Linked DNA regions of Rattus norvegicus. The protein of the gene in region 3 purifies or fractionates together with the protein of the main gene of each other region. This does not show direct contact. Links are inferred from orthologs where the notes say so. Each region holds a gene or a part of one and is shown on either strand. Other genes may lie near its edges.

Region 1 (10,264 bases), on a different chromosome or scaffold from region 3:
TGATGTATGTGTATACAGTGTGCCTGTGTGTACGCACATTCGTGTGTGAGAATGTTGGTACACAGGTACTACGGTAAGCTTTTGGAGGTCAGAGGTCAACCTTGGATGTCAGTCCTTGTCTTACACCTCGTAGGGTCTCCTGTTCGTACCTGTGTGCACCAGGCTAGCTGGCCTGTGGGCTTCCTAGGATTTAACCGTGTCCCTCGCCCGTCGAGCCACAGACACAGTAGATATATAGATATGGGCTGCTGTGTCAGCTTCGTGTGGATTCTGGGGATCTGAAGTCCAGTCGTCACAGGTGTATGACAAGTGATTTTCTTTTCTTTTTTTTTTTTCTTTTTTCTTTTTTCTTTTTTTTTTTCTTTTTTCTTTTTCTTTTTCTTTTTTTTTTTTTTGGAGCTGGGGACCGAACCCAGGGCCTTGCACTTCCCAAGCAAGCGCTCTACCGCTGAGCTAAATCCCCAACCCCGACAAGTGATTTTCATATTAGCCATCTCTCCAGCCCAAACTTTTCCCTTTATAAGTTAATGATCTCAAGTACTTTGTAAAAGCTACGAGAGGCCAGTGCACCATCTACCCTGATGACTAATAATTTACAGGCAGACTTCTCCTTTTGGCTACTAAGTCAGCGCTGTTGCAGAAGTCTAAAAAGCAAGCACTGAATAACTCAATACTTACTCTCTTTGGGTCCACCGATTATACCAGGCCACGATGGTCTATTGGGAGAGACCAGAGCAGGACGCTTATTCTTGCTTCCCTACCTTATATCAAGAACTTCACGTCTCAAAACACTTCCGCAGTTTCTGCTGTTGTAGAATAAGGCTGCTTGACTTAGAGAGAGTTGTGGAGACCTGAGAACTCAATGGCCTCAATTGCCCCCCATGAAACATGAAAGCTGTGGGCTTTATTTAGGCTGATGTGCTAAACACTGACGCAAAGGATGGAAAACGCTGGCTGCAGTGCTGTGCAGCTTTATCCCCAGCACTTGGAAGGCAGAATCAGGTGGATCTCTGGGAGTTCTGGGCCAGCCTGGGCTACATTGAAAGTTCCAGACTAGACAGGCAAACTCAATGAGATTTTGTCTCAAAGGGGAAAAAAAAATCACGTTATCTACTAAATGGTTCTTATTTTATGGGTGCTGTTTTGTTTTGCCAACTTGACTGGATTTAGAATCACCTAGCAGACATATCTGGGCATGTCTGAATGTGGAGACACCATCCCGTAGTCGGGGTTCTAAACACTATTTTCTTGTTGCTTTCTTTCCAGCTGTGGGCTGGGTGCAGGGCATATGCCTGTAACCAGCAGCCTCCAGTCTGCCATGTCTTCCCTGGAGTGAGGGACTGCATCCCTTCAAACCAGAAGCCAAAATAAACCCTTCCTTCCCTATGTGGGTTTTGCATGGATTTTTCTCATAACCAAGATAAAGTAACAAACCAACATGGCTAATCTTCGTCATTTACTGTAGACAGTATATTTAAGTATATTTTCATCTATCCAGACTAAACTTCTTGAAAAAAGAAACTGTCTTTTGGGGGCTGGGGATTTAGCTCAGTGGTAGAGCGCTTACCTAGGAAGCGCAAAGCCCTGGGTTCGGTCCCCAGCTCAAAAAAAAAAAAAAAAAAAAAAAAGAAACTGTCTTTTGTAAAGCATTGTAGTCTAAGTAAAACACTGCTGAGCTTTTCCTTGTTTGTTTTTGGCTCTGGGTACCAATTGTATACACGCAGGAAACGGCTCGCTTAACCTACAACCGTAAGGAACCCTTGCTTTCTCTGAATGCTATTTTTCCTCTGTCAAGTTAGGAGGGATATTCAATTTGCAGTTATCTCCCCACTCCATTCCTTTGCTCCCCCATGACAGAACCTGTAGCCGTGGGACAAACTTAAAACATGAGAGCTCTAAGTCAGGAGGACTCTGTGAACCACTGAACTATTTAACTGTGAGTAACACCACATGGGTGTGAAACTGGGAGTTTTGCAGATTCCCCTCTGTAGACAGTGCCTTACAACCAAGGGCTTCTGAACTGAAATTCCCTGAAGTCCCTTCTCTATTTAAGGTCCTGCGGACAACTTGACCTTGCTCAACTAGGATGCAGTGTGAAGAGATCAAATGTGATCGATTCCCAAAGCATCTCAGGGCATCTTGGGCCTTTCAGAAGCCATCTGCTAGCCTTGACTTCCCTTCTGAATCTCCCATTTATACATACATATATATGTATGTATATGTGTGTGTGTGTGTGTGTGTGTGTGTGTGTGTGTGTGTGTGTATGTATATACTGTTGCTGTCTTCAGACACATTAGAAGAGGGCATTGGATCCCATTACAGATGGTTGTGAGCCACCATGTGGTTGCTGGGAATTGAACTCAGGACCTCTGGAAGAGCGATCAGTGCTCTAACTGCTGAACCATCTCTCCAGCCCATTGAGTTTTCCTTTTTGAGACACGATCTCATGTAGTCTAGGCTGCCCTGAAACCCCTATGTAGCCTACGCTGGCTCTGGTCTTCCTCCTCTCTACCTCTGAAGTGCTTGCAATTACAGGCTTGTGGCACTGCCTCAGGTTTATACAGGGCTGGGGAGCTAAGGTTGTGGATGATGTTAGGTAAGCACTGTCAACTGAGCTACATCCCCAGCCATGATCTTTTTTTTTTTTTTTTTCTTTTTTCTTTTTTCTTTTTTTCAGAGCTGGGGACCGAACCCAGGGCCTTGCGCTCGCTAGGCAAGTGCTCTACCGCTGAGCTAAATCCCCAACCCCTCCAGCCATGATCTTTATTTTTACACTTAGCCTAACATTCTCAGACGTGTGTAAAGCCCCTGCTGTGCATGAGCAGACCCCTAGCTTCCACCAACCCTAAAGCTAAGAGTACTCTAACCTAGTTTGAAACCTAAGAAAGATTGACTCTTCTTGCTATAGCCCTCCTACCTGATGTTCCCTATAACTTCGCTATATGTACTGACTTATGGCTTTCTCTTGTCCTGCAACTATAAAAGTTCACCAAAGGGGTTGGGGATTTAGCTCAGTGGTAGAGTGCTTGCCTAGCAAGTGCAAGGCCCTGGGTTCGGTCCCCAGCTCTGAAAAAAAATAAAAAAAAAGAAATTGCATCTACATAGCAAACACTCTTCCCATATTTCCACTGCACCTCCTTGCAGTGTCACTGTGGGTGTAGAAACAAGTGCTCCTGATCTAGGAGCGGTCAAAGGCACTCTTGGGTAGACATGAGACTTTCTACTGAGGGTGCAAGGCACGGACAGCCCTCCAGGCAGAAAGTAGTCTACCTACCAATCCTGACCCACCCTCTACGAAGGTGCATACGTAGTTGCAAGGGAAAGAACACAAACCTAGTTGCAAGGGCTGGCTAGATAGCTCAGTTTAAAAGACTGTGCTGTTCTTGCCAAGGACCTGAGTTCAGGTACCACATGGGGTAGCTTACGGTTCTAGCTCCAAGAGGATCTGTTGTTCTCTTCTAGCCTCCGGGGCACCTGCACTCACATGCACATACCAACACAGACATCCACATGAATATTTTTTAAATTTTTGGAATTGTTCTTCAGAACCAGGAAGCCTGAGAGAGCCTGTCTCAGTGATTTATGACAAAAAAACACTTGAGACTGCACACTTTATGACACTGCACACTTGGGCCATGGCTCAGGAGTGTGTGTGTGTGTGTGTGTGTGTGTGTGTGTGTGTGTGTGTGTGTGCTTAAGTCTCTTTAAAGAAAGGAGCAGGACTCCTATCCAGTTCCATAAGCACGCCCTAGCGCTGACTAGCGGCTGCCTCATCTGAGCAACCGCAGCCATTCAGACAGAGCACCCCAAAGAGGGCTATGTTCTGCGCCTGCGCCCGGCGGGCAGCCGAAAGAGGCTGCTCTGCGCAGGCGCCCTGACCACTTCCGGGATCTGTCAGCCGCTCCCTCTAGGCCTCCCTCCTCCGTCCGCGCCCGCCGGAGCCTGTTCGCGTCGACTGACCAGAGTCCGCGAATCGTTCGCTCCGGACCTCCCGACCTCCCCTACCCCAGGTAAGGAGCTGCAGGGCCGAGAGTCTGGTCCGGGTCGCCTCCATTTCTTGTATGTTCTATGGCACGCGGGGGCGGCGGGCCCAGGTCGGTTAGGCGCGGGGTCTTGAGTTGAGGGGGCCGGGATCTCCGTTCTTCGTGGTTACCCCTGAGTCCCTGATCCCCACCTCCACCCTACCCCCCAACACACACAGACACAGACCGAGCGTTCCTGAGCACTTTCCAGCTGCCCTCCGTCTCGGATGGGAGAAGGAACAGCTTGGCCTCCGACACCCCCACAGTTCCATTTGCACCCCTACTGTGAGCGTTTACCACAATCTGTAAAATTAGTTTAGACGGGCCGATCTCCCCCGATGGCTTGTCACGATGGCTTGTTCATCTCTTCAACGTCTAGGATGTTGCCTAGAGCAGCCTCCGATCCATCAGTTATTGGGGAACCCTCCCCAGCAAGAGAAAACCCATCTTTCGAGTAGCCTTAAGATTCCTTTGCTCCAGCCCCCGCCCCAAGTCAAAGTTGTACTCTCCTCTTCATTCCGATTCATAGGGTCCTTTATGTAGAACCGCCGGAGTTCCCATTTGACTCTGCCATTTGTCAGGTGTCTCTGGAAAGGTTGTTTCTTGATGCCTCAGTTTCCCCAGCTGCAGTAAGAAGATTCTTAGTCCGCTTGGTTTTATTGGGTTCATGTGGAGTTCATTTGCTTGAGTTGCTTACAGTAATTCCTAACCCAGAGTAGCTGATCTAAAATAAGTAACAGCCGTTACTAGTGCCTTCATTTCCTTTCTGCTCTTTCCTCCGGAGAAGGACTTGAGGACTAGGTTTTATTTATGTTTCTGGCCCCATTCAGATACTTAACATTGTTGGGAACTTGGGAAGCACTTAATAAATTGCACCTTAGAATCTCTGAGTATAAAACCATCTGTTGTCGTGGTGCGACTTGGGAGGCTCCTATCTCCTCCTTGCCCAGTTTTCTGAAATGACCTAGTTTGGCATCCTATCTTATCAGTGTCACGTAATCTTTTGGTTTCCATGTAGGCCTTAGGATTTCAGATCTCTAGAAGTTATCAGTTCGGGGTGCTGTCTGGGGGCGTGGGGCTTCTTCAGTTCATCTTCTGTCACAACTGGGGGATCCTTCTGGAAATTGCAGACTCCTATGGAGGATGGGTGGCAGTGTTTTGATCTAAATTATCTAGCGTTAGGTCAAAATAAGTTCTCTATAGGAAGTGTGGAGATGGTCTGATGAAGCTGGAATTTAGAATGAAGCATTGGTAGGGTGTGGTAACCTTGTTGGAGCTCTTGTTGGTATCGCTGGGTTGGGTAACGAGAGCAATTAGTAACTAGATGAATCACAGATTTGAAAATGACCCTAACAGGGAATGGAAGTTCTAACTTAACATGAATTTGTCAAGTTCTAGTGGAATGGAGCCAAGACATCAACATAGGTAGACGTGTCCAAGTTCAGAGGATCCTTCTAGGGCTGGTCCAAAGCTTTGTGCCAGAGACTAATTTACTGGGCTTGCAAGATGGCTCTGCCATTAAAGGCTAGACTTACAGAAAACTAACTTATTGGGGTCCGGTCTGGGGTGCTTTTATGTGCTATCTCACTTAACCTTCCTGACAGTTGTCTTGTAATGTCATTTGGAGATGAAATGAAAAACGTCCCAGCGTCTCATGATGTATGTGTTAAAACGAAGATTCAAACTCAGGTCCCCTTGTCTCCAGATGCCATGGCTAACCAGATAGTAAAATGACTCCACTCGAAGGCTGGGAACGTGGCTGAGTTGGTGGAGCCCTTGCCCTGGTGTGCATAGTGTGCGGGTTGGCTCCCCAGCAGGGCAGGAAGAAAAGACTGTGCTAAGTGAAAACCGAAGAGAGTAGGAGCCCATGGAGTCACCTCTTTTTCAGTCCTTTTCATCCCTCAGTGCTGGACAGCGGCAACAGAAGCCTGGGTTTTTGGTCGTTGGTTATGTTTGAGACAGATTCTTAATTGTATATAGTCCTGGTTGGCCTGGAACTCACAGAGATCCTTCTGCCTCTGCCTCCTGAGTGCCCAGAAAACTTATTGTTCACATAATCACCTAGAGTGTTCCCCTTTCTCCTTTTGAGCCTTGTTAAGATTTTCAAACACTGCTTAAATATCACCTGCTGTTTAGTGATTTTAAATTATCACCATATGAATAAAGGTTCGTTTTGCTTGGTACAAAATTGTGGCTTAAAATAGCCAAATGACTATAAAGGAAGGACATGTCTGAATGTATGTTCAATTATAAGACTTGACTGAAAGAACAAAATTAGAAATGCAGTTGTAGAAGTAATTCTGCTGTTCTTTAGGAAGTGCGTCCTTAGAAACCCCGAGTGAGAGAATGAGAAGTCTATCTGGAGGTGTGACTCTCAGCTCTTCATGAACTAGGTGTCCTCTTTGCATGTGGATAACCAAGGCACTAGCTTACAAACCAGCTTTGTTCCCTTAAAAAGCAAGTCCATCAGCTTTGGGGTCTAAGCTGCATTGTTCACAGTTAGTAATATTTGTAACAATCCATTCTTTTAAGGTTTATCTGTGTGTGTACGTTGCCATGTGTGTGGTTGCCATGTGTGTGGTTGCCATGTGTGTGGTTGCCATGTGTGTGTCTGTATGTGACTGCCATGTGTGTGGTTGCCATGTGTGTGTTGCCATGTGTGTGGTTGCCATTTGTGTGGTTGCCATGTGTGTGTCCGTGTGTGTGGTTGCCATGTGTGTGTTGCCATGTGTATGGTTGCCTGCAGAGAGCTGTCAGGCTCTTTGGAGCTGGAAACACACAGAGCTACTTGACCTGGTGCTGGGAACTGAACTCTGCTCCTCTAGGAGAGGAGCAGGTGCTGCTGACCCCTGAACTTACTTCTCTTTGACCATGGCTTCCTTTATAGAGTGTTTCTTTTCTGTGCCACAGGCACTCACTTTTGTTTATGGAGTTTGCCTGTTGTTTGCCTCACAACTTTCTAATGTCTCTTCCATTCATTCTCTGCTAGTGTCGAATCCCTATCTCACTGGGCATGGAAACACATGGCCTGCGGTCAGGACGCTAAGGCAGAAGTATTGTTAATTGGAAACCAGCCTGGGCTACATATAAAGACTGTCTCAAAGGAAAAGACATTAATTACAGCATTCAGTAGGCAAGGGCAGGTGGATCTCTGTTTGAGCCAGCCTGGTCCACATAGTAAGTTCCAGGCGGCCAAGGCTGTAAGTGAGAAGAAAGGACATTTATCCCAAACAGATCATCACTTTTCCCCTAACGGCTAAGACTTGTTCTTACCTAAGGCAAACCATTATCATAGCTAGGATGAAGATAATTTCATGCTCTTATATAATAATCAAATTCAAATTTGTTATACAACACATGTCTTTTATGGTTATTTTTAAACATACTAATTAGAATCAACCATCTTTTATGAAATTTGATTTTCTTAGCTCTTTTGAAATCTAGAACAGATTCTTCCCTCTACCTCCCAAGTGCTGGGATCTAAGCTGTTTGCTGCCATACCTATCCATACTGCCTTTTAAAGAAGTCCAGGCAAGCTGTTTTCTAGAGGGCACCTCTGGGCTTTTCGAGAGAGACAGAGAATGAGCAAGTGTGAGGTGTGTTTATGTGTGTGCTTGTGCTCACATGAGAACTGTGTGTTTGTGGTGTGCGTCCATGGGAATGGGCCATGGCATGTGCAGATGTCAAAGGACGCCTCCCTCCCGTGTCAGTCCTCACCTTCTACCTTGTTTGAAACAGAGACCCTTCCGTTGCACACTACAGTGTGCCCTGAGGCCCTCCTGAGGGTCTCCTGTCTCCACCTTCTAGCTCCCTGTAGGATCACTGGGACCACAGAGGCTCTCGCTGCTGTTTCCAGCTGTCCTCAGGGTCTGGGGGACCAGAGCTCAGGCCATCTGGCTTGCACAGCAAGTGCTTTAACTGCTCAGCATATCTGAGGAGCGACATCAGTGTCGACTTCTGGTGTTGCTTTCTGCTTTACCTCCTGTAAGCTGAAAGGGAGATCCAGGCCTCGATTGCATTTAGAGTAAATATGTTTGGCAGGTGTGCTTCATAACTGGGTTGATCATCTTCCAAGGTTTATCTAGGATGGCCTATAACTTCCTGTTAGACTGACTGACTAACTGACTTTCTTTCAAGGCAGAGTCTACTCCATAGTCCAGGATGACCTGGAACTCTCCCAGAGTTCCTCTGGCCTCTGCCTATTGAGTGCTGAGATGCACTTGGTCAGATTGACTTTTATTCTAAAGTGACCTGTAGGAATGTCCTGGGGCGTGTCCTTGTGAGTGCAGGTGCTGTGGGGCTGGAGTTACAGTGGCTGTGACAGTCACTGTGGGTGCCAAGACTTACCCAGGTCCTCAGTGGTAGCACTAACTGCTGGGCCACCTCTTCATCCTCTCTTCAGTGGGGATTAACCTGGGGCCTTCCACATGCTGGCAAGCACTCTCCCATTGAGCTGTATCCCCAGGTCTTCCTGCCTTGAGTTTCCGTTTTGTTTTTACAAGTATCCTGCTGCGGATGATGAATTAAATCATTGTTTTCAAATTATGATATGCTGGTCACGTCCCCCTGGGACTGTGGGTTTAGATCTCTCTGCTCCCGTTTGTAGCTACAGGTTTGGTTACTTGGTCAAGGTGATGCCTATCAGACTTCTTTATAGTGAAAGCATGTTTTCCTTCTCATAACTTAGCAAGTCCTGTGTGGAGTTGTAGTTTGAGGCTGAATACCTACTCCATCAGTCTGTGATTTGAGAGTCAGTTGGTGACCCTTCAGAGTAGATTCCATACTGGTGGTTACTGTGCTCTAGTCCTTGTTACGGAATTGTTTTTTGTTTTGTTTTTTTTTCTTTTTCTTTTTCTTTTTTCGGAGCAGGGGACCAAACCCAGGGCCTTGCGCTTGCTAGGCAAGCGCTCTACCACTGAGCTAAATCCCCAACCCCACGGAATTGATTTTTGTATTGCAAGTGAGTCTTCTTACTGGGAGATCAATGTTGTGTTTATCCCCAAATAGGCGAGTCCTTCTGATAACTTGAACTCTTAGTGCATGACATTTTGAGTGTTTTCTTTCCTATTGCTCGTTACAGCTTTCTGACCTGTGAAAACACGTAGGAATCATGTCTCTGCATCAGTTTCTGCTAGAGCCAATCACCTGCCATGCCTGGAACAGGGATCGGACCCGTAAGTGTGCTTTGAATTTCCTGATGCTTCTCTGTGGAATGGGCTTGTATAGAGGCCAGAGAGCCATGTCAAGTGTCTTCCTTAATTATTTGAGACAGGGCCTCTCAGTGAGCTTGGAATATTTCAGTTTGGCTAGGCTGCTCTGCCAGTGGCCAGTGAGCTGCAGGTGTCCTCCATCTTGGCCCCACCCCACCCCAGTGCTGAGGTTATGGGCATATGCCGCCACGCCGGAGTTTACATGGGTTTGGGGGGTTCCACTCAGGTCCTCCTATTTACGTGGCCAGCATATTACCAGCTGAGCTATAGCCAGCAGTTACAATTCTCAAACTCCAGAGCTGCAAGTAACATCAGGGATGGCACGCTGTTAACAGTTGTGCTGCCTGCCTTCCTCAGAGATCGCACTGAGCCCCAATAATCATGAAGTGCACATCTACAAGAAGAATGGGAGTCAGTGGACGAAAGCTCACGAGCTGAAGGAACATAACGGACACATCACAGGTAAGGCAGCTGCAGGCTCAGTGTGCTCTTTCCACACAGAGCACCTTCCTCAGTAAGTAAAGCGCCTCATCACACCTCACATTCCGAGTGCCGTAGGACTTACTGAGTCTTCTCTTTGCTTTCTTTCCTCCTTTCTTCTTTTCTCTTTTTTCTCTGGAGCTGAGGACCCAGGGCCTTGCGCTTGCCTAGCAAAATCCCCAACCCCTTCGTTCTTCTTTTCTTTTTTTCTTCAGGTTTTTTGAGACAAGGTCTCTTTATGTAACCCTGGCTATCTTGGAACTCACTATTTGTAGACCAGGCTGGCTTTGAACCCACAGAGATCTGCTTGCTCCTGCCTCACAAGTCGTAGAATTCAGTCATCAGGCTGCATTTCTCTTTAGAGAAAATCTGAAGGAAAACAGTAACGTGGTCACATACTTCTTGGGGCCCAGTGGCACACAACACTCTGGTTGTCTGTGGAGGGCACTGAGCTTGCTCTACGGCTGGGATGAGCCAGGAAAGCCAGAGCTAGACCCTGCGAAGAGTGAGCACTGAGGAAATGTGCGGCTGGCTGTCTTCGCCGTGGGACAT
Region 2 (9,661 bases), on a different chromosome or scaffold from region 3:
CACAGGTATGGGTCCCCCTCGACCCCCACGAATAACTGAGTCCCCGCTGGCGGGGGCGGATGGTTTTGCTTCTACCTGTTTACCTGTGTTGTCCTGTATTTCTTTAAAGGTCCTTCTTGAAGTCCTCTAAACATCATCATGAGATGTGATTTTAAATCCGAATCTTGATTTTCCAGTGTGTAGGTGTAGCCAGGACTTGCTGTGGTGGGGGAATATTTGATGATGTCAAGTGACCTCAGTTTCTGTTGCTTATGTTCTTGCACTTGCCTCTCACCATTTGGTTATCTCTGGCGTTAGCTGGTCTTGCTGTCTCTGACAGTGGTTTAACCCTTCTGTAAGCCTGTGTGTCAGCACTCCTGGGAGACTGGCTTTCTCCCGGTGGGATCTGAGTATAGAGAGCTGTGGTACTGGGACAGCTCAGGGCACAGACAGAAACTGGAAAGATCCTGTCCCAGATTGCTCCTTGGTTCCTGGGTCCTGAGGGCTCCGGGTGGGTCCCCTTGAACAGAAGTGGTGGTCTCACCTGTGTTCTCATATGTGCCAGCACTCTTGGGAGACCAACTCTCTCCTGGCAGGATTTCGATACAGAAAGCTGTGGCACTGGGTCAGCTCCAACTGGAAGCTTTGCTCCCAATTCTACCACATTGCGATCCAGCCTAAGTCAACCAGAACAAAATTGTGTGGTGATTTTCTGTAAATTAGTGATATAATTCTAACATAACTTTCTTTATAAAGTGACCAAATCATATTTTGGTTTTCTATACAGTACGTGGCAGCTTTAATCAATAAATGAAAAACAAACAAACCCACTGACAGCAACTGGACCCTTAGAATACTTGGGAAATTGAGGAAAGATAGGAGTAGGTATCATTCATTTAAGGAATAGTAAAACTTTATACTTACATCTCTGAGTCAAAGGGTCTTCCTGTCAGGGCTTGCAGACCCAGATGCAGCCCAGCTCCACCTAGGAGTCTGAAAATGGAAGCAGGCCATGGGCACCTTCCTTCTTCACCCCACTCCCCACTTCCTCTAAAATGTGTTTGGGTGGGGTGGCAGAGGATAGCACCACATAGTCCTGTTGCAGTGGAACATCCTGCTTTCTATATGTTATATCTAAAATAAAATGATCTCTGGGCTGGGAAGGAGGTTCAGTTGGTGCCTGACACACAAGCCTAAGGGTCTGAGTTTGGTACCAATGTAAAAAGTCAAGACACAGTGGCACATGGCTAGAACCCCAGCATGGAGAGGGAGTAGGGCAGAGATAGGAGGTCACTGGCCAGCCAGTCTAGCCATATTAGTAAGCTACAGGTTTATGGAGAAACTTTGTCTCAAAAACTAAAGAGTGATTGAGAAAAACATCCAACACTGACCTCTAACCTCCATAGGCACGAACACATACATGTGCACTTACACATACACCACACACACATGTACACACACTTAATTTAAAAAATAAATAAATAAAAGGCTTTCAAAAACAATCTTGTGGCAAAGAGATCAAGGAAGCTTTAAACATTCTGGGTCTGAGACCAGGTTACACTGGCTCTAGTTTGGCGAACATGGGTGCCAACATTGACATACAGAAGTAATCTTATACTAGAAGCTTGGAGAAGGTGTACCTTGCAGCAGTAAGCAAAGTAAAGAAAATCAGTCATTGTGGGAACCTTCCTCATGTAGTGGGCCATGCTGTCAGCATGGTAGAATGGTGTTTTACATCCTATCATGTCTGCACAGTTTCCACATGTGTAGTCAACAGTCTGTTACAAAGCTGGCTTTGGATTAGATGATTCTGTCCATGCATGACTATGATGGGTACACCGTGTACATACATACATATATATATATATATATATATATATATATATATATATATATATACACACACACACACACACACACCCATACACATACAAACATAAACATACACACACAGTGTGTGTGTGCATGTGTGTGTGTGGGTGTGTATGTACACATATACAGTGTGTATGTTGTTTTACTTTGTTTTTTTTAAGATTTATTCATTTATTATATATAAGTACACTGTAGCTATCTTCAGATACACCAGAAGAGGGCATCGGATCTCTCTTTACAGATGTTTGTGAGCCACCATGTGGTTGCTGGGAATTGAACTCAGGACCTCTGGAAGAGTAGTCGGGTGCTCTTAACCACTGAGCCATCTCTCCAGCCCCTTTACTTTGCTTTTAACTTTGGGGAACGTTTCACTAGTAGTGTACATGTGTATGCACATTAGCATATGTATCACAGCACATAGGTAGAAGTCAGAGGACCTCGGGGACTCAGTTCTCTTCCTGCACTAGGGGTCCTAGAGATCAGACTCAGGTTATTGGGCTTGTACAATACAGTTTTTACTCAATGAGCCATCTCAAACACCAAGTGTATCCCTGGCTGACATAAAACCCACTGTTAGGCCAGGTGGACGTTAAACTTATAGTGAACCTCCTCCCTCTGCCTGGTAAATGCTGAGACTATAAGAAGACAAGTGTTACCACGCCATGTATGTGTGTTCGCTTGTGCACACATGCAGAGACTCAAAAGCACATTGCCAAGCCAAGTGAATGAAGTGTATATTCATGTAATAAGTATTCGTTAAGTATTTAATAATTATAAAGTTCATTTTAGAGTAAGAATAGTCAATCTACAATAAAAATTACATGAGGGGCCAGTAAGACGGCTCAACCAGTCAAGGCACATGTGAGCCAGGAGACATGATTCAATCCCTGGACCCCATGAAGGTGAAAGGAGAGAACTGACTCTGGGAAGTTGTCCTCTGACCTTCACATGGGAACCTTGGCTCTTGCACTCACACATATACATACCACACATGCTTGAGCATGTGCACACACACACCACATACACATGCATATACACACTATGCACACATGTACACACATATACATACCACACACACATATACAGGCCACACATGTGCACACACACACACACCACATACACATGCATATACACACTATGCACACATGTACACACATATACACACACCACACACACACACATATACAGGCCACACACTAATAGGTTTTTTTTTTAACAGTTTTTTAACAGTTTTTTACAGTTCCCTGGATGTAGTCTCCCTGCTTACCGGAATCTTCCACTGACTATTCTCAGATTGAAGATGGCTGTGAATAACTGAAGTGAAGAATCAAATGTGGAAATAAAAGCAACCCTCAAAGCTCAAACTTGTTCCCAAATTAAATAACAAAACCAAACTGTTACAAATGGAGTTTTCTGAGAGTAAAACGTGCCTCACAACTCGGAGGATTAGAACAACAATTTTTAAAGTACCAAGGGTTCTAGGAGAAGGGAGAGCTTCAGATCTACTGACCTACACCTGAGTGAGGGGTCACTCAGCAGACGTCAGCACTGAAAGCTTTCCTAACAGGGGAGCCTGGACACCCTAAGGATGTACCCACCCCCTCCAAGACAAAACAGGTTATCCACCCAGTCTTGGGTAACATCAATTTTAACACACACGCACACACACACACACACACAGGTGCACACGCACGCATGCATGCACACAGTATCAGTCATCTATCATCTGCAAACCTGTGGAGTCCAAGGTTCTCAAGAGACACCACAAGGAACAGTTGTAAAGATTCTAGCAGCTTTTATTACAACAGTGCAATAGTATTTCATCCCACACTCAACAACATAAACCATCATCTTCTATAAAGCAGCTTCAGGAAGTTCAGATCCATCTGTAGCAACTCCCACCCAGTCCTGGTGAGTGCCCAGATGTCACACCACCCCACCAACATGTGATCACTGCCCAGCAGACATGTGGCATTGGGCCTGCTGTTTTACTTGCCTGTACAGACATCAGAGCATGCCTCACAATTAAGCACTTTATTACAGAACTCTGTGACATCCATGAACTCTGTGACTACTCATGCTTAATATTAGCCGGTTATACCAAATGCCATAAAATACAAAATGATAGGAAATATAAACATCAATTTGTATTTCAAGTTTATAACATTTTATTTACAAAAATAGGCTGGGAAGGCCAGGGTTCCTCCACCCTTCAGTCTGTCCCGGAGAAACCACTTGCATCACGTGTTCCTCTGGTAGTTTCTAAGGTTGCAATGGACTCCTTCAGAGCTATGCTCGCCTAGAAGCTCAGGTGGAAAGGAGAGAGAGTGGGAGGGGCAGGAGGGGAGGGGGATGGGAGGAGGACCACGAACAGTCGCACCGGATAAATGGCTTTACTGGGAAGACTGTGCCCGGCCCCGAGCACCGGCCATGAAATCACGCTGCTCACACACTGATTCCACACTGCTATGTACAGGAGCCAAGGCTGCTCTGGGTTCTGAAGGACACTTATTCCCCAACAGGACACTGTCAAGACAATGGCTCTGAGGCAGACACTAGGACATGACTCCGAAGACGGGGTTGTGGCGGCAGATGCTGGGGCCGTATTCCTCATAGTCCTTCTTGGTGTGGCAGACCTGAAAGAACTCCGGCTGCAGGAGAAGCAGCCAGCGGAAGGAAGATGATGAGCAGGGGAAGAGGCTATCCTTATCCCCAGGTCCCCCTGCCAAGCACTGTTCTAAACCTGGTGACAAACCAGGCAGAAGTTTATTTCGCTTTTTAAAATTCACTCAGCAATTTCCAACATTGGAAAGCAACAATAAACTTACTCAGTTTCCCTTACTGGGTTCAAATATGTGTCAATGTGAACTAAAAATAACTGCCAACAACATTGAGGGGGAAATAAATAAATAAATAAATAAATAAATAAATAAATAACCAACCAACCAACAACTTGGAAAGGACAATGAGTAGGGTGTGTGTTAACGAGACATACAATTTAAATGGTAGCTAAAACATTTTTACATCAAACAGAATTCATTTTGCCTATTGAAGGCCATGCAAACAGAACAGATGCTGTTTCGTGTTTGTATCCAAACTCCATAGGGAAGCAGGAAGGACAACAGAGCAGTCGAGAAAGGGACTCACAGTCGAGGCGAGCATAGAGCCTCCAAACCAGACGGCGTAGCGCTGCATGTGGTGTGTGATCACCTGCACCTCCACAGGCTTAGGCTGCAAAGGCAAGCAACCGCGTTTAGTCTGCACAGTACATCCTTCCACCAGTGTGACCATGACGGACCCTGAGCTCCTCCAGTGACGGCCTCAGCCGCACCGCACTGTCAGCCCAGGAGATTCAGGGGAGGACGTGCTCGTGCCTAGCTGAGGCCCCCTCTTCCAGTACTGAAACACATCACTAACCTAGCATTAATCAAACAAATCATTGGGCTTAGCAAGGTCAATAACAAAGTGAACCCCCAAACACTAAAACAAAACAAACATTGTAACGGGCACCTCACTGCACTGGGCTCTCTGCTCCCTCTTCCCTACCAAATCCCACCTCAGGGAGAAGCCCATGCAGCACCGGGCAGCTCAGAGCTGTGGCCTTGGAGAAGCACAGCCTGGTTCCCTGCACACACAGGTTATTCCCTCACCATTGTCTCTGCAGCACCCTGGTCACACACACTGATGCCTCATCTTGCAAAAGAGAGTCTGAGTGGTCTTAAGGACGTCTCCCTTTGGACGTGTGAATTTGGGCATCACACCTCACTGCCTGCCCCCCCCCACACACACACACTGACATGGCGGACAGCAGCCTGCACACAGCCTCCTACCTTTATCCTGCCCCCGCTGAGCTCTTGGCTCAGCTTTAACCTGGCGTCCACCACTCTCTTCAAATCTCTCTGCAGACGGCGTCCAAAATCTCTGAACATTGTGGAGCCTCCAGAGAGAACGATGTTCTGAAAGACCAAAGTGGACAGTGAGCCGCCTCGGGTGACACCAAGCTGTCTGTGATGGTCTCATCACTGCCCCACAGCAGGGCTGCTGGGTAAGCAGCACACTGACGCAGACGCAGACACTAACTGAGGCATGAACGCCTGCCGTCGGGAGCTGAAGGCAGACTGCTGCTGGACCGCCTGCATTCCGACGGCAGTACAACTGCAGGGGCATGGAGAGGTCGGGATGCTGCAGCTCCAGAGGCAAGCTGCCTACCTCAGGCTAGCTTTAGTCCTGGGTTAACCATTCCTTGTCCACCCCTGTGCCAGAACAAACATCCTGTGACTGATGTATAAAAGTAAGGTATTAGCTTAGAAGATCCCTAGTTTCCACCAAACCAAAAGCTAACTAAGGCAGTTAGCAAATAGCATCTGCCTACAGAAACGCAGACGCCCATCCTGCTGTATCCACCTCCCTTATGTGCCCACCAGTGTAGTTTAAACTTTTTTTGATCTACAACTTTCTTTGATCTGTAAAACTCTGAAATTGCTTCCACATTGGAGCATGGAACCTGGGGTAGCCTCAATCTGCATTTCCGGGCCTTGGTGCTGTAAAGTCCTCTCCAGAGTAAGTCCTGATTTCCTTTAACAGTGAGAGCTGTCCCTTTTCATCTGCAGGGAGAATCAGACACAGCCTGGCTGCAGAATCTTCCTGAGAAACTTTCATCCTTCCTCAGAGAAAAGGGGCTATAAAAAGGCACTCTTGCCTCATAGGCTGATTCTCCTCAGAGCTCTGCCATGCTGTCTGTCTGTCTGTCTATGTCACCAGGGCCTGAACTCCCCAGAGTTTCCAACATGTCTATTACCCACAGCATTAATAACTGACTTCCTTGAATCCCTCACCTGAGACCTTACTTAGCCAAAAGGCATGGGTTATATTTTTTTCTTGTGACGGCTTGCCACCAATCATTCCCCTGGTACTTCCTTCACCGTAAGCAATTGAAAGCACAAAGCAGCGTGTGCCCGAGCTCCCCCTGCCCTGGGGCAGAACCCTGACAAGAGCCAAGACGACAGAAAAGCCACATTCACTGACAGGCAGGTTCCACACAAATCACTAACATGGATCTTCAATTCTTTTTGCCATAATAGCCAACAGGGCAACAGGGCCTTCCGCTCACACTGGAACCCCTTCAGAGCAGCAGTGTGGAAAAGAGGCACACTCAAATCACCCGGGGAACATTTTCAAATGCGTCCTCCCTCTGCCCACAGCCCCACGAATGCGCCAGCCTCTATCATGTGACTGCACCAGCCGTCTGGTGGGTGAGGCGGGGTGAGAATCATTAAACTGGCTGGCTGGTACCATGAAAGCTAACAGTTCCATTCTCTCAGGCTACAGAATATTACTTAGGACAACGAAAGTGAAATTGCCCTCATTTAACTTTCTGACAGAAAATATCATTTGAGAAAACTATAAAGAAAATAAAAACCATCCTTCACGGAACCACAAGTCCCCACACTTGCCTTCCTGGATGCCTTGTGTAGCTGCAGGGCCTGCAGTCAGGCACTCCCTCAGCCAGCCCATCCCTCACAAGTTTATGGGAAAGAGATCCATACAGACCCAGGCCAGACAGCCCAGGTTATGATGGATCCGTTCTGTTCACTGCTGCTTGCTACCAGTGAGAGATGGCCAAGCCGAGGGCCACAGTGGCAGCGGTGAGATCTGCAGGGCAGGCAATGGAGACAAAGGCAGAAGTGCAGAGCCCTGTAAAGCCACCTCAGATCTAGGCTTTTGCCTTGGCACATACTCCTGTTCCAATGTGAGTTTAGGTAGACATTTCACCTCTAATACCCTGCCCATAGCATTAGGAAAGCCTACAAGAAGCCTGCACTGCTTCAGGAGCTAGGCTGAGGACCTGCAGGGACACTTTGCCAGGCCACAACAGGGCTGAGCCATGGGCCATGGGAAACCACAGCTGGGCAGCCACTGTGATCTCCAGTCAGATGTCTGAGAGGTCCTGAAGGGAGCTTGTAGGCCAGATGTGAAACACTGAGGCAAACCTTCTGCAGCTCCCTAGTAGAGAAAAGTTCAGGCTGTCAGCTCTTGTTCAGGGGCTAATAGCAGGAGGGACCCTGAGGGACACTGACATTGTGCAGAGGAGGGACCCTGCCTCAGGCTTCACAGCTCCAAACCTGTCTTCTGGGCACTGTGAAGCTGCCACACGTGCTCCCAGGTGAAAACGTAACTTTGCTTTCTCTTCCGTGGGGGGCGGGGGTGGGGGTGGGTCGTTTGTGGATGCAAGTGTGGGTGTGTCAGGGTCAGAGGGCAACCTCAGGGGGTTGCTCCTGACCTTCCCCTTTGCCCCTTGCTGACCCCCAGGATGGCTGTCCCGTGACCTTCTGGGGAGTCTCCTGTCTCTGCCTCCCACCTCATCCTAGGAGACTAGGATCACAGATACAGACTACCCTCTAACCTGGATTACTCACACACCGAGCCTCCTCCCCAGCCCAGCTTTTCACTTTTTTACATGTTTAAAACAAGCACAGTTCAATGAACACAACATCTAGAATGATAGAAAGCTCTTATCTTAAAATGTGATTTTTACATTTTTTAAACTTTTTCAAAATCATAGACTCCTTTAAGAATTTTTAGATTTAGAGGTATGAAGCCCTTCCTCAAGCCACAGAGTGCTCTCATTTTGGTCCAGGGTCTGCCCAATGCCACTTTAGGTGTTTGGTGGTACATAGAGTGTAGTGCCTTTCCCCAATGATGGTGCTAGCTAAGGGAAGAGGCTGTCACAGTGCTCCCCTGCCTGTCACAGTGCTCCCCTGCCTGTCACGGTGCTCCCCTGCCTGTCACGGTGCTCCCCTGCCTGTCACGGTGCTCCCCTGCCTGTCACGGTGCTCCCCTGCCTGTCACGGTGCTCCCCTGCCTGTCACGGTGCTCCCCTGCCTGTCACGGTGCTCCCCTGCCTGTTATAGTGCTGCCCTGGTTATCACCATACTCCCTTGACTGTCACAGTTCTCCCCTGGCTGTCACAATGCTCCCCTGCATGTCACAATGCTCCCCTGCCTGTCACGGTGCTCCCCTGCCTGTCACGGTGCTCCCCTGCCTGTCACGGTGCTCCCCTGCCTGTCACGGTGCTCCCCTGCCTGTTATAGTGCTGCCCTGGTTATCACCATACTCCCTTGACTGTCACAGTTCTCCCCTGGCTGTCACAATGCTCCCCTGCCTGTCACAGTGCTCCCCTGCCTGTCACGGTGCTCCCCTGGATGACACAGTGCTCCCCTGTCTGTCACAGTGCTCCACTGGCTATCACAGTGCTCCCCTGCCTGTCACAGGACTCCCCTGTCACAGTGCTCCCCTGGATGACACAGTGCTCCCCTGCCTGTCACGGTGCTCCCCTGGATGACACAGTGCTCCCCTGTCTGTCACAGTGCTCCACTGGCTATCACAGTGCTCCCCTGCCTGTCACAGGACTCCCCTGGATGACACAGTGCTCCCCTGCCTGTCACAGTGCTCCCCTGTCTGTCACGGTGCTCCCATGACTGTCACAGTGCTCCCCTGCCTGTCACGATGCTCCCCTGGATGACACAGTGCTCCCCTGGATGACACAGTAACAGACATAAAAGTCATTAAGGACATCTAGTTGCACAAAGTACATCGTGTGCAAACATTATGGCCGTGGGGAAACCTAGGGAAATGAAGTCCCTGAAAGCAGCAAGGGTAGGGTGGCAATGGCAATGGGTCACCTGAAGAGTGCCACATTTTTAGAGCCCACTGGTTGTCCTTACTCCCTGAGTCCTCCTAGTTTCCCACCCTGTGAGCAGTTTCCTAGATCTGGAAGCCCACGGGCTTGTTTGTGCGTTGACTTTGTTGA
Region 3 (9,512 bases):
AAAAGGCTACTAGGAAAAGGATAGGGAATGCATGTAGAGAATCCCTGGGAATAATTTAAGATGAACCCCAGTGAATAAAGCAGAGAATGAGTCACTTCTATAAATCAAAATCGTTTTTCTGAAATTGTTTCCAGGCTAGTTAAAATATGGCTGTCAGTTCCTGGTTCCTTGGTTTGCATATCTGAATATTCATAACCTTGAAAATCATTTGCATTGATCCCTTAGAAAAATAGAAATGTCACAAAACCCCAAATTGGAGCTTTAGAAAACTCGTATTCATTAAGTCTGTAGATACATATCTCCCTCATCGATTTTCTACTAGATTATGATGAAGAAGTAAGCAGAAATATTTAGTGGTAACCACAGCATCGAATATATACATATATGTGCCATATACGTTTAACTTTCATTACCACTACTTCCACATTGGTTGCTACTAATTTATTTATTAAAATACTTGGGATTTTTTTCTTTAAAAAGTGTTCTTTAAGAGACTATGCAGGCTTGACAGTAGTTTATCACTAACTGTAGATAATTTTTATTAGACCTTTTCCACAGAAGTGGTGAGTTTATTCTTCGTTTAAAGAAATCTTTATGGTGGATATGATATTTTATTAAACTAATGTATTTTAGGTAATTTCTGGTGATTATTATGACTGTATCCATTATTAATTCAGTCTACCTTTTCATCAATCCATCTTATCCAAATATAAAGGTACTGTCTCTGGTTATAACTAGGAGCGGCAGCCCCGGTTGGGTACTACAGATGGAGGAACAAGTGACTCTGGTTCTCCTTTTAGGGAAATGACTGTCTTTTCTGACAGTCTGATTGGCCTTCCGTTTCCCGTGCTTGCTAACTCATTAGTGCTTTCAGTACGAAGTAGGTATGGAGGGTCCAGCCCAGTTTGAATAACCTGTAGGAAATAAAGTAAGCTGCCACCTACAGGTCGTGTGGGTTATTACATCATCTGGAGCCCTGTTCATCAATATGCAGCTATCACGGCCTGTCCCACTCTGATTGCCAGAGTAATCTGCCAGCACCTCAGTTAATACACAGTGTAGTTTCAGTATCAAGTTTAGGCTTGTTTTCCAGTAAGAATCACGCAGACAGGATGGAATACTTTGTTGGTAAACTGCATCATTCGATGGCTTAATTCTTAGGCATATTCTAAGACTTCTTGAATACCTGTCTAGACAATTGTGTGTATTTCCCTGGAAAGTGTAATCTCTTTGGTTGACAGAACAGGTCAGAACAATCTTTGCTTTTAAAAAAAATCATATTCTTAAGCGCAAGGCCCTGGGTTCGGTCCCCAGCTCCGAAAAAAAGAACCAAAAAAAAAAAATCATATTCTTTTAATTTCATTATTTTAACCTTTGGTTGACATATTGGAAAGAAACCCATACAGTTAATGACCATAGTAGTTTTTGTTACTGTTCACAAAGTCAAGTCTAACCCACCAGTCCCATAAAGTGGGGCTGCCTTTTTTTTGGTTCTTTTTTTCGGAGCTGGGGACCGAACTCAGGGCCTTGCACTTCCTAGGCAAGCGCTCTACCACTGAGCTAAATCCCCAACCCCGGGGCTGCCCTTTCTGTTATGCCCTTAACCTTCACTACAGGAAACATGACCGCTGCCCTACAGGCCGCTCTGAAAAACCCCCCCATTAACACAAAGAGCCAGGCAGTGAAGGTGAGTGGTAAACTACAGCGTTAATCCCTTCTGCTTCGCTATTATCAAAGTCCTCTGACACCTACCTTCAATGACCATTTTAACTATTTACTGTGCTTGACACGAGGGTTTACAGTGTGACTTTTGTTTTGAGACTGGACCTGAGTCTATAACCTGGCCTGAAACTTGCAGAGATCTCCCGCCTCCACTGGGATTAAAGGCATGCACCACCACATCCAGCCCGAAAGGAAGCCCCTGCTAAGTAGAACGGTCATGGAAAATAGGGCTGACATGTGGTTAGGACGCGTGGAGCACAGTAAACAGAAAGGGTGGGGACACCAGCTCTGTGTGTGCTTAAGGAGCAATCTGCTCGAGTTGAATTCAAACAGGTTCAAAAAACACTCAGCTGCCTCTTAATTCCCTAAGTTTTTCTTAATTATGTAAATATGAAATATCAGAATCAAAGGCATGAGCGCATAAAAAGGTGGTTTCCGTGCTACTTCCTCGGGTCACAGCTACTGCCTTATATGGTATTGCTGCACACTGAGGGGTTTCTACCAGGGTTTGTGTTCTTTTAAAAAATTAATAGAATCTTACACTTGAGCTGCATAGTAACGTACATGATCTTTCCTTAGCAATAAGATTATTTCCGTGGCATTCTAACTGCTGTACACCAGTATATGACATCGTATATGCAACTGATCCCTTTTACTGTATATTAGGTTTTCTAGTTTTTCCTGCTAAATGAATAATTTTATATTTTAATTGTTTATGTCAATAAAATTCCCAGAAGATAAATGCTAGATCAAAACTGACTTTTTTTTTTAAAGGCTTTTGATCCATAAAGCATTGCCAAGTCCCTCAGAAGAACTTCGTAGCTTACATCTCTGTATCAGTCCTCCACTGATTCTCAGGGAACTGCTTAGCTGTTTCTTGCTATACAGGTAACAAAGCCCTGTGGTCTGAAGCCTGCATCTCAGGAACCCAAGAACTTAAGAATTATATGTAAATGCATGATAACTATTGAAGGCACAGAACTTTGTATAGGAATTTTTCTTTGCTTTTTAAAAGTTGTTAGGAACCTCATTAAATTTTCAGTTTTACCCCTTCTGTTTTCATATGGTTTTTGTTTGTTTGTTGGTTTTGGTTTTTTGTTTTGTGTTTTGACAGCTTGTGTGTAGGAGGTTATAGCTCTAGTTACAAAGATATATAGGGAATTAGACCATCTCTAAGCTGAAGAGAACATTCTGGTATAAACATTCTGTAAAATCCCACCCGTAGGAATGACGGCAGCACCTCTGTGTTGAGCAGAAGGAGCAGTGAGCAGCTGAAAGGGTTGTTCACGTGTTCCCTCTGCTTAGGTGATGCGTAAGGAGGTGCCTTTGCTTCTGGAACCTAATGTCTGTGGATAGGAAACTTTAAAAAGTTCTTTTTTAATGGTTTTTAAAAGGATCTTTTAAGAAAATAACCATTCTTGAAAGATAGTGCAAGATAGAGTTATATAAATCAGTTTTCTTCTTTGGTTAGGAGTTTTTTTAAGACCAAGAAGTAAAATGTAAATGTTATAATAAATTGTTAAAATTTCCCATCAGTCTATTAGTAAATCCCCAGTTCTACCTTCAGTTCTATCAAAAATGTGCTCCTAAGTTGACCGTGGTGGTGCACACCTTTAATCCCACAACTCAGGAGGCAGAAACAGGCAGATCTCTGTGAGCTCCAGACCACCCTGTTCTACAGAGGACAACAGCCACAGCTACAGAGAGAAACCAAGTCTCTAAAACAACAAACAAACCAAGAGAAGGGGTTCCCTTCTTCCCACCTCAACTCTCATGCCAACCAGAACCAGGCAGTGTTGTTGGAATCACCCCAGTGGGTGTCCAGTGTTGTTGGAATCACCCCAGTGGGTGTCCAGTGTTGTTGGAATCACACCCGTGGGCGTCCAGTGTTGTTGGAATCACACCCGTGGGCGTCCTGCCTTTGCCTTACTCCTGCCTCACTGCTGTTCTCTACAGAGATGCCAGGTAGTCTTAAAATGGGAAACAGATTGGGTCGGTGCTCTAGAAGCTCTCCACTCTCTCGTTTCCCAGTAAAAGCCTGAGCCATTACGGTGGCCAGCTGTCCCTCACATGGTCTGTCTTCTCACTTCGCTCCCGCTTCTCCCACCACCCAGCTCTGTCACATCAGAGCCTTCGGAACACTCTGAACACTGAAACCCACGCTAACAGCACTTGTTCTTTCATCCACACGCTGGCCGTGTTCCCACAGCATCTTCTTTTACATCCTCCAGATCATCCTTCAAATTCACTCTAGCGTGGCCCTTTTAAAATTGTGTTCCCGGCATACACATGTCTAAATATTCTGTTATATATTTACCTCAGGACCGGGCAGGCAGCATCGTCTTGAAGGTGCTCATCTCCTTTAAAGCTAATGATATTGAAAAGGCTGTTCAGTCTCTGGACAAGAATGGCGTGGACCTCCTAATGAAGTATATTTATAAAGGCTTTGAGAGCCCGTCTGACAATAGCAGCGCTATGTTACTACAGTGGCATGAAAAGGTAAGTTAATAAACTAACAGACCCTACAACTGGCTCCTTTGAAGTGGAGAAGAATAACCTCTGTCACCTGAAAAGCAGTGACTCGATTGTACATCTTTATTAAAGTGACAAGTTTACACTTGCTTATGGGCCTTGATCTTAAGACTCCCATTTGCATTGCATTTTATTTGCGTGTATTTAGTGCATAAGTGATTTTATACTTAAAGTGTGAGTTCTTTCACACTAATTGAAGGATAGAAATAACCCAAGATGAAGGGCTAATCTGTGGTACCTACAAACCATGGGCTGTTACTCATCCATGCTACAATATCGACAAACCTAGAAGATACTGCACTAAGTGAAGTAAGCCAGACACAAAAGAATAAGTATTCTGTATTTGTACTTACGTGAAATGATCTGAAATAGGCAAACTCAGAGGGATAGAACGTTACTAGGAGTCTCCAAGCACCGTGGAGAAGGAGTGCTTGCCTGTATTCCCAAGGATAGATCCCAGCACTAGTTTTGTTTTGTATTTCAGAAATTGTTATTGGCCATATATGGTAGTGAACGTCTCTAGGGAGAGGTATCCCAGGCCAACCTTGTCTACATAATGAATTATATGCTATATTGGGAGGCTGGGTCTTGGGGAGGGAGAGAAATCAAATTATTTTTACTTCTATATAAGAATTTATTAAATGGGTGAACCAGGTGACTCAGTTGAGTAGAATTTCCTGCCAGCAAGCCTGACAACCTGAATCAGTCTCTGGGACCCACATGATGGACAAAAAGAACTGACTACCTATATACACACACACATACACACACACACACACACACACACACACACACACACACACACACTCACTGTACCCACACAAGTGTACACAAGACAAATATATTTTTTAATTTTTTAAGAGCTTTCATACCTAGCTCTTGTACTGATAAAATATAAACAATTCCATAGCCATAGAAGGACTGGGATTCCAGATGCTAACCATTATATGTGTGTATGACTCTTTCATGTACATTGTGGGGACTGAATTCTGTGAGTTAGTTAGCACTTTTAATGTGCTGAGCCATCTCCTTCAGCTCCCGAAAGTCAGTTCTTTCTAAAACCCTTCTCTTGAGTCTGAGTGGAAACGTTTACAAGATAAAACTAAAAGTAAATTTTGTTGTTGAGCCTTAGTTAAATCACCTTATCTTACATATACTACCAAAGAGCTAGTATTTATGAATAGTGTTCCTTGCAGTATTCCAGTATAGCGCCCCCTCTCACTGAAGGGAACCTGTGGAGTTATTGGTATGGTCATCTTACTTTGGACACTGTTGGCTGGGCTCCACCCTTGTTTACGTTTCACTTACTCCTCACTAGCTCTGTGAGGTGTGTACATGTCTTCTGTTCTTTGGGATTTTTTTTCGGGGGAGGGTCTGGGGGGAGGTCAAAACAGGTGCTCTGTGTGTAGTCTTGGCTATCCCGGAATTCACTCTGTAGACAGGCTGGCCTTGAACTCAGAGCCATCTGCTTCTGTCTCCTGGGTGCTGGGATTAAAGGTGTGCTCCACCACCACCACTACCACCTAGGTACACATGACTTTCTTATCTTCAGTTTGCAGTTGCCGCCTCTAAGACCCAAACTAACGTAGGTCTAGAATAGCCTCAGGACCACAGTGACATCAGTTGGGAGCTTGTTATAATCCAAACACATCTGAGAACTTTATAAATATGTCAACTCATGTAATCTTCACAAGTTACTAGAAGGAAAAACCCTTGTAGGTGAGAGGAGTAGTACACGTGTTGTTGGTTTTTCCAAAGTCTCCAGGGTTGACTTTCTGAGTGTCCTCAAGTCCATCTGTGCCAGTCTCTGGTGCACCTCACAGCATCTCCTGGCGGCTGCTACTTGCTCCATTCTGTTTTCTACTCAACCACTGGAATGAGATCTAAAATCCAAAGTATCTTGTCGTTTGTTGATGACCCATTTCACTCTTCCCTTAAGCTCCAGCCTTTCCCTGATACACCCCACCCTCACACCTCCAAACTGTTTTCTGGCCTCAGGCTGTCAGCCTCCCTGACATTTCTTACTGTCCTAGGTATATGCCCTTACTCTGCTTCTGTAGCTCTCTAAGATAAGTCACGGCACTTCATACAGAATAGGGAAATGTTGTTCTCGTATAAGTGTTGTACAGTTGTCCAAATAAGTATACCAAAATTTCTAATTGCTGGTATTTAATCATGACTCCCAGTTATTCCAGTCAGATTCCAAGTTAGAGATCAGCTCTTAGCTCTTAAGTAATATCTTCTTGCCGTAGGGAGGAAATCTGCAAACCAAGTGGAAGTTGGGATAACTTGTCCCAATCTCAGGTTCTTCCCAACCTCAATGAGGATGGGAGATGGAGAAATGAATTTATATTTGAAACTTGTTCTAGTCAGAAACAGTGCTACAGACATCTTAAGCATTATTTAGGCATAGTATACTAGAATAGTGACTAGTGTCTGATTGGAAGTAACTTCCCAAGGGCAGGAACCCTGAGAGGTTGGTCTTTGTTTTTGTTTTCTCCTAGTAATAAGACTGTCATTAGTATCATGCTGACACCTGCCTGGGGCATAATAGGTGCTCAGGAAGTACTTACCAAGTTTATGAGTTCAGTGTTTTGCCTGATCTTAGACTTTTGACGTTTCCTGTGTATTTGGTTTGTTTTAGGCACTTGCTGCTGGAGGAGTAGGGTCTATCGTTCGTGTTTTGACTGCAAGAAAAACCGTGTAGTCCAGCTGGAACTGGACAGTGTTCAGAGGAGTGGGAGTTGCTGGTACAAAGACCAAAACAACCAAATGGCACCGCTGCCCCATGGGTAGCATCTGTTTCTCTCAGCTTTGCCTTCTTGCTTCCTTTTTCATATCTATAAAGAAGAAAATTACATATCAGTTTCCTTTAATGAAAATTGAAATAATGTGGAGAAAATTTTGTCTCAGTGGGGTGTTTGATCCTTTCATAACCATGTCAATAATGTGTATCCCATTCTGTAATTTATATTCAAGTTTGTGCAATTTCTAACTCTGTTGACTGGTTTAAGGGTTTTACTTTATTTTTAACCAATACTGAGAGATGTGATCAAATTCGAGGCCAGTTTCCTAACTCATTGCTGGTCAGGAAGTGATCTTTATTTTTAAAAACGAGAGACTGGCAGCTAGTAACATTGCAAAACTGGACCACACTTCCCTTATAAAATGTGTTTCCAGAGCAAGGAGTGGGTGAACCCCACTACCACTTTCCAGCTTTCTTTCTGCTTGCCTCCAGATGATGCTATGAGTGGAAGTGTGTACTTCCTGTTAGCATCCAATTATCATGGCCTCTCAATCTCTTTGTGGTGACCCAGGGTCCAGAGCAAGAAGTCTTGCTCTATATAAATGTATTTACACAATATAAGCGCCTCTTTGGCACAAACATCCCATTTCCTTCTGATAATAAGGCTGCCTGGGGAAGCTATCCCAAGTGGGAGAATGGACTCCAGCAGCTTCTGAATGAATGCTTTCATCAGAAATAAGGTAGCTGCCTTAGACATTTACACAAGGGTTCACTGTAACATTTCACACGCCCAATGGTGTCCTCAGTGTTCTTCAGGTAATGGGGATCTCAGAAAATGTGGTTCTGATCCAAATACATAGTGTGTGTTTCAGCTCAGTGTTTTATAAGAAAGGAAAATGCCGCATAGTAAAAGAAAGGTGTCTACTTTGTCGGACAAACCAAATTGGTTCTCAAAAATGACCGGTGCTTGTAAAAAGTTATTACAAAGTAGTTCTGAAACCAACCACCCGAATGCCTGTGGCCAAGAGGGAAGCAGCCCGGTTGTCTTCCTAAGATGCCAATTCCAGAGTCGCTGACTGAGGTGAGAACCAGCACAGAAACTATAAACTGCTGTTTTTGATACCTGCTTTTTGTTTTGTTCTGTTTTGTAAAATTATGATAAACTTCAGAAAATAAAATGTCAGTATTGAATAATTTTTGTTCTTACTTGAGTACTTGAAATCTCGTTAGTTAAGGGACTGCTCCAGTGCCGCTGTCTGTATGGAGGATGGATAACGTCACTAATGGGCACAGGTGGAGAAGAGCCACTACGGATGTCAGCACTGCTGAGGTGCTTTCTGTGACTCCAGAGCCCTCTGGGTCGCAGCAGGATGTACCAGCGACCTGCAGGGCCTGATTCCTGTAGCTGGCAAGGACACTCCCGACTTCCAAACTCTCCCTGGTTAGACCCCAGACCTACCTCACACCTGTCTACTCAGCAGCTTTGCTGTCCAACTGCGCCTGGCTGACCCCTGCTTTACTCAGGTTAGGACCGTGGCTTAAGTGAGGCTAAGCAGTTCCTAGTGGAGGTTGTCAAGCAGGTTAGCACAACCACCACCTTAGAAACAGGGAGCATGCTTAACTGCCTTTGTGACCTGAAGTCTCAGGACAAATGCTGGAATCGGTATTTTAGATTCACAGGAACGGATACAGTAAGATCCGTCAGCTCTGCTGAGTAGAGAGTGAAAATAGACAAGCAGCACAGCACAGGAACTGAGCCAGGGTGGGTGCCAGCCGGAGACAATGGGCTTAACAAATGTGTCTGGCTAGGCCATGGTGATTGACAGACCGCCCAGGTACTCTGACACACAAGTGGTTCTTCATTGCCCAAGTGGGAGGTAGGGTGTGTGGAGCTGGGGTGTGTAGAGCTAGTGTGTGTGGAACTAGTGTGTGGTTGAGCTAGTGTGTGTGGAGCCTCAGGGCAGGGTCAGGAGTCTTTGAGTTGCATTACCACCTTATTTATGAAAATCTGAACCTGGAGCTTACCAGTAACTTGACTGACTGGCCAGCAAATCGCTAGGGGTCCTCCTGTGGCTTCCTCCCCAGTGCTGAGGTCACAGACACCAGCCATGTCTGACTTGGGTGAGAGCTGTCTGAACTTAGGTCCTCATTCTTGTCTCAGTGAGCCCCTTGCCTGCAGCCATCTTCCAGCTCCACAGAAGCCCATCTCCACCTGTTTCTCTTCTACTTCATCGCAGTGCTTACGTTTGATTTGGTTTGACTCCCTTCTGTAGAGAGAAATTACCTCAATTTTTAGTAACAGACAGGCCTCAAACAATAGACCTACCTCAGCCTCCATCAGAGGTTCCAGGTGTGCGGACCACACCAGGCTTGCTTTCACAGGGCGGCAGGCAGGAAGCAGTTGGAAATCTCCATACTTAAGACGGAGGCAGGCAGATCACAAGCCTGTGCTAGCCAACAAGGACCTGTCTTAGGAAATCAAGGGCTGACAGTATAGTCTAATGGTCAAAGC

The links.
Region 1: the proteins of Arpc5 (region 3) and Arpc1a fractionate together in Homo sapiens (co-fractionation; 8 studies listed by BioGRID and IntAct, counting the BioPlex papers as one, with this or other methods). This does not show direct contact. The link is inferred for Rattus norvegicus from reciprocal best matches to the Homo sapiens genes ARPC5 and ARPC1A.
Region 2: the proteins of Arpc5 (region 3) and Actr3b purify together in Homo sapiens (affinity purification with mass spectrometry; 5 studies listed by BioGRID and IntAct, counting the BioPlex papers as one, with this or other methods). This does not show direct contact. The link is inferred for Rattus norvegicus from reciprocal best matches to the Homo sapiens genes ARPC5 and ACTR3B.

What each region holds. Positions count from the first base shown.
Region 1 is NC_086030.1:14,632,680-14,642,943, reverse strand, and holds the start of Arpc1a (actin-related protein 2/3 complex subunit 1A), read left to right. Parts: upstream 1-3,891; 5' UTR 3,892-4,010; intron 4,011-9,102; 5' UTR 9,103-9,132; coding exon 9,133-9,196; intron 9,197-9,589; coding exon 9,590-9,694; intron 9,695-10,264. UniProt on the Homo sapiens protein: Probably functions as a component of the Arp2/3 complex which is involved in regulation of actin polymerization and together with an activating nucleation-promoting factor (NPF) mediates the formation of branched actin networks.
Region 2 is NC_086022.1:9,991,927-10,001,587, forward strand, and holds the end of Actr3b (actin-related protein 3B), read right to left. Parts: intron 5,808-9,661; coding exon 5,682-5,807; intron 5,083-5,681; coding exon 4,999-5,082; intron 4,503-4,998; coding exon 4,407-4,502; 3' UTR 4,229-4,406; downstream 1-4,228. UniProt on the Homo sapiens protein: Plays a role in the organization of the actin cytoskeleton.
Region 3 is NC_086031.1:67,455,095-67,464,606, forward strand, and holds the end of Arpc5 (actin-related protein 2/3 complex subunit 5), read left to right. Parts: intron 1-1,614; coding exon 1,615-1,687; intron 1,688-4,044; coding exon 4,045-4,221; intron 4,222-6,898; coding exon 6,899-6,961; 3' UTR 6,962-8,194; downstream 8,195-9,512. UniProt on the Homo sapiens protein: Component of the Arp2/3 complex, a multiprotein complex that mediates actin polymerization upon stimulation by nucleation-promoting factor (NPF).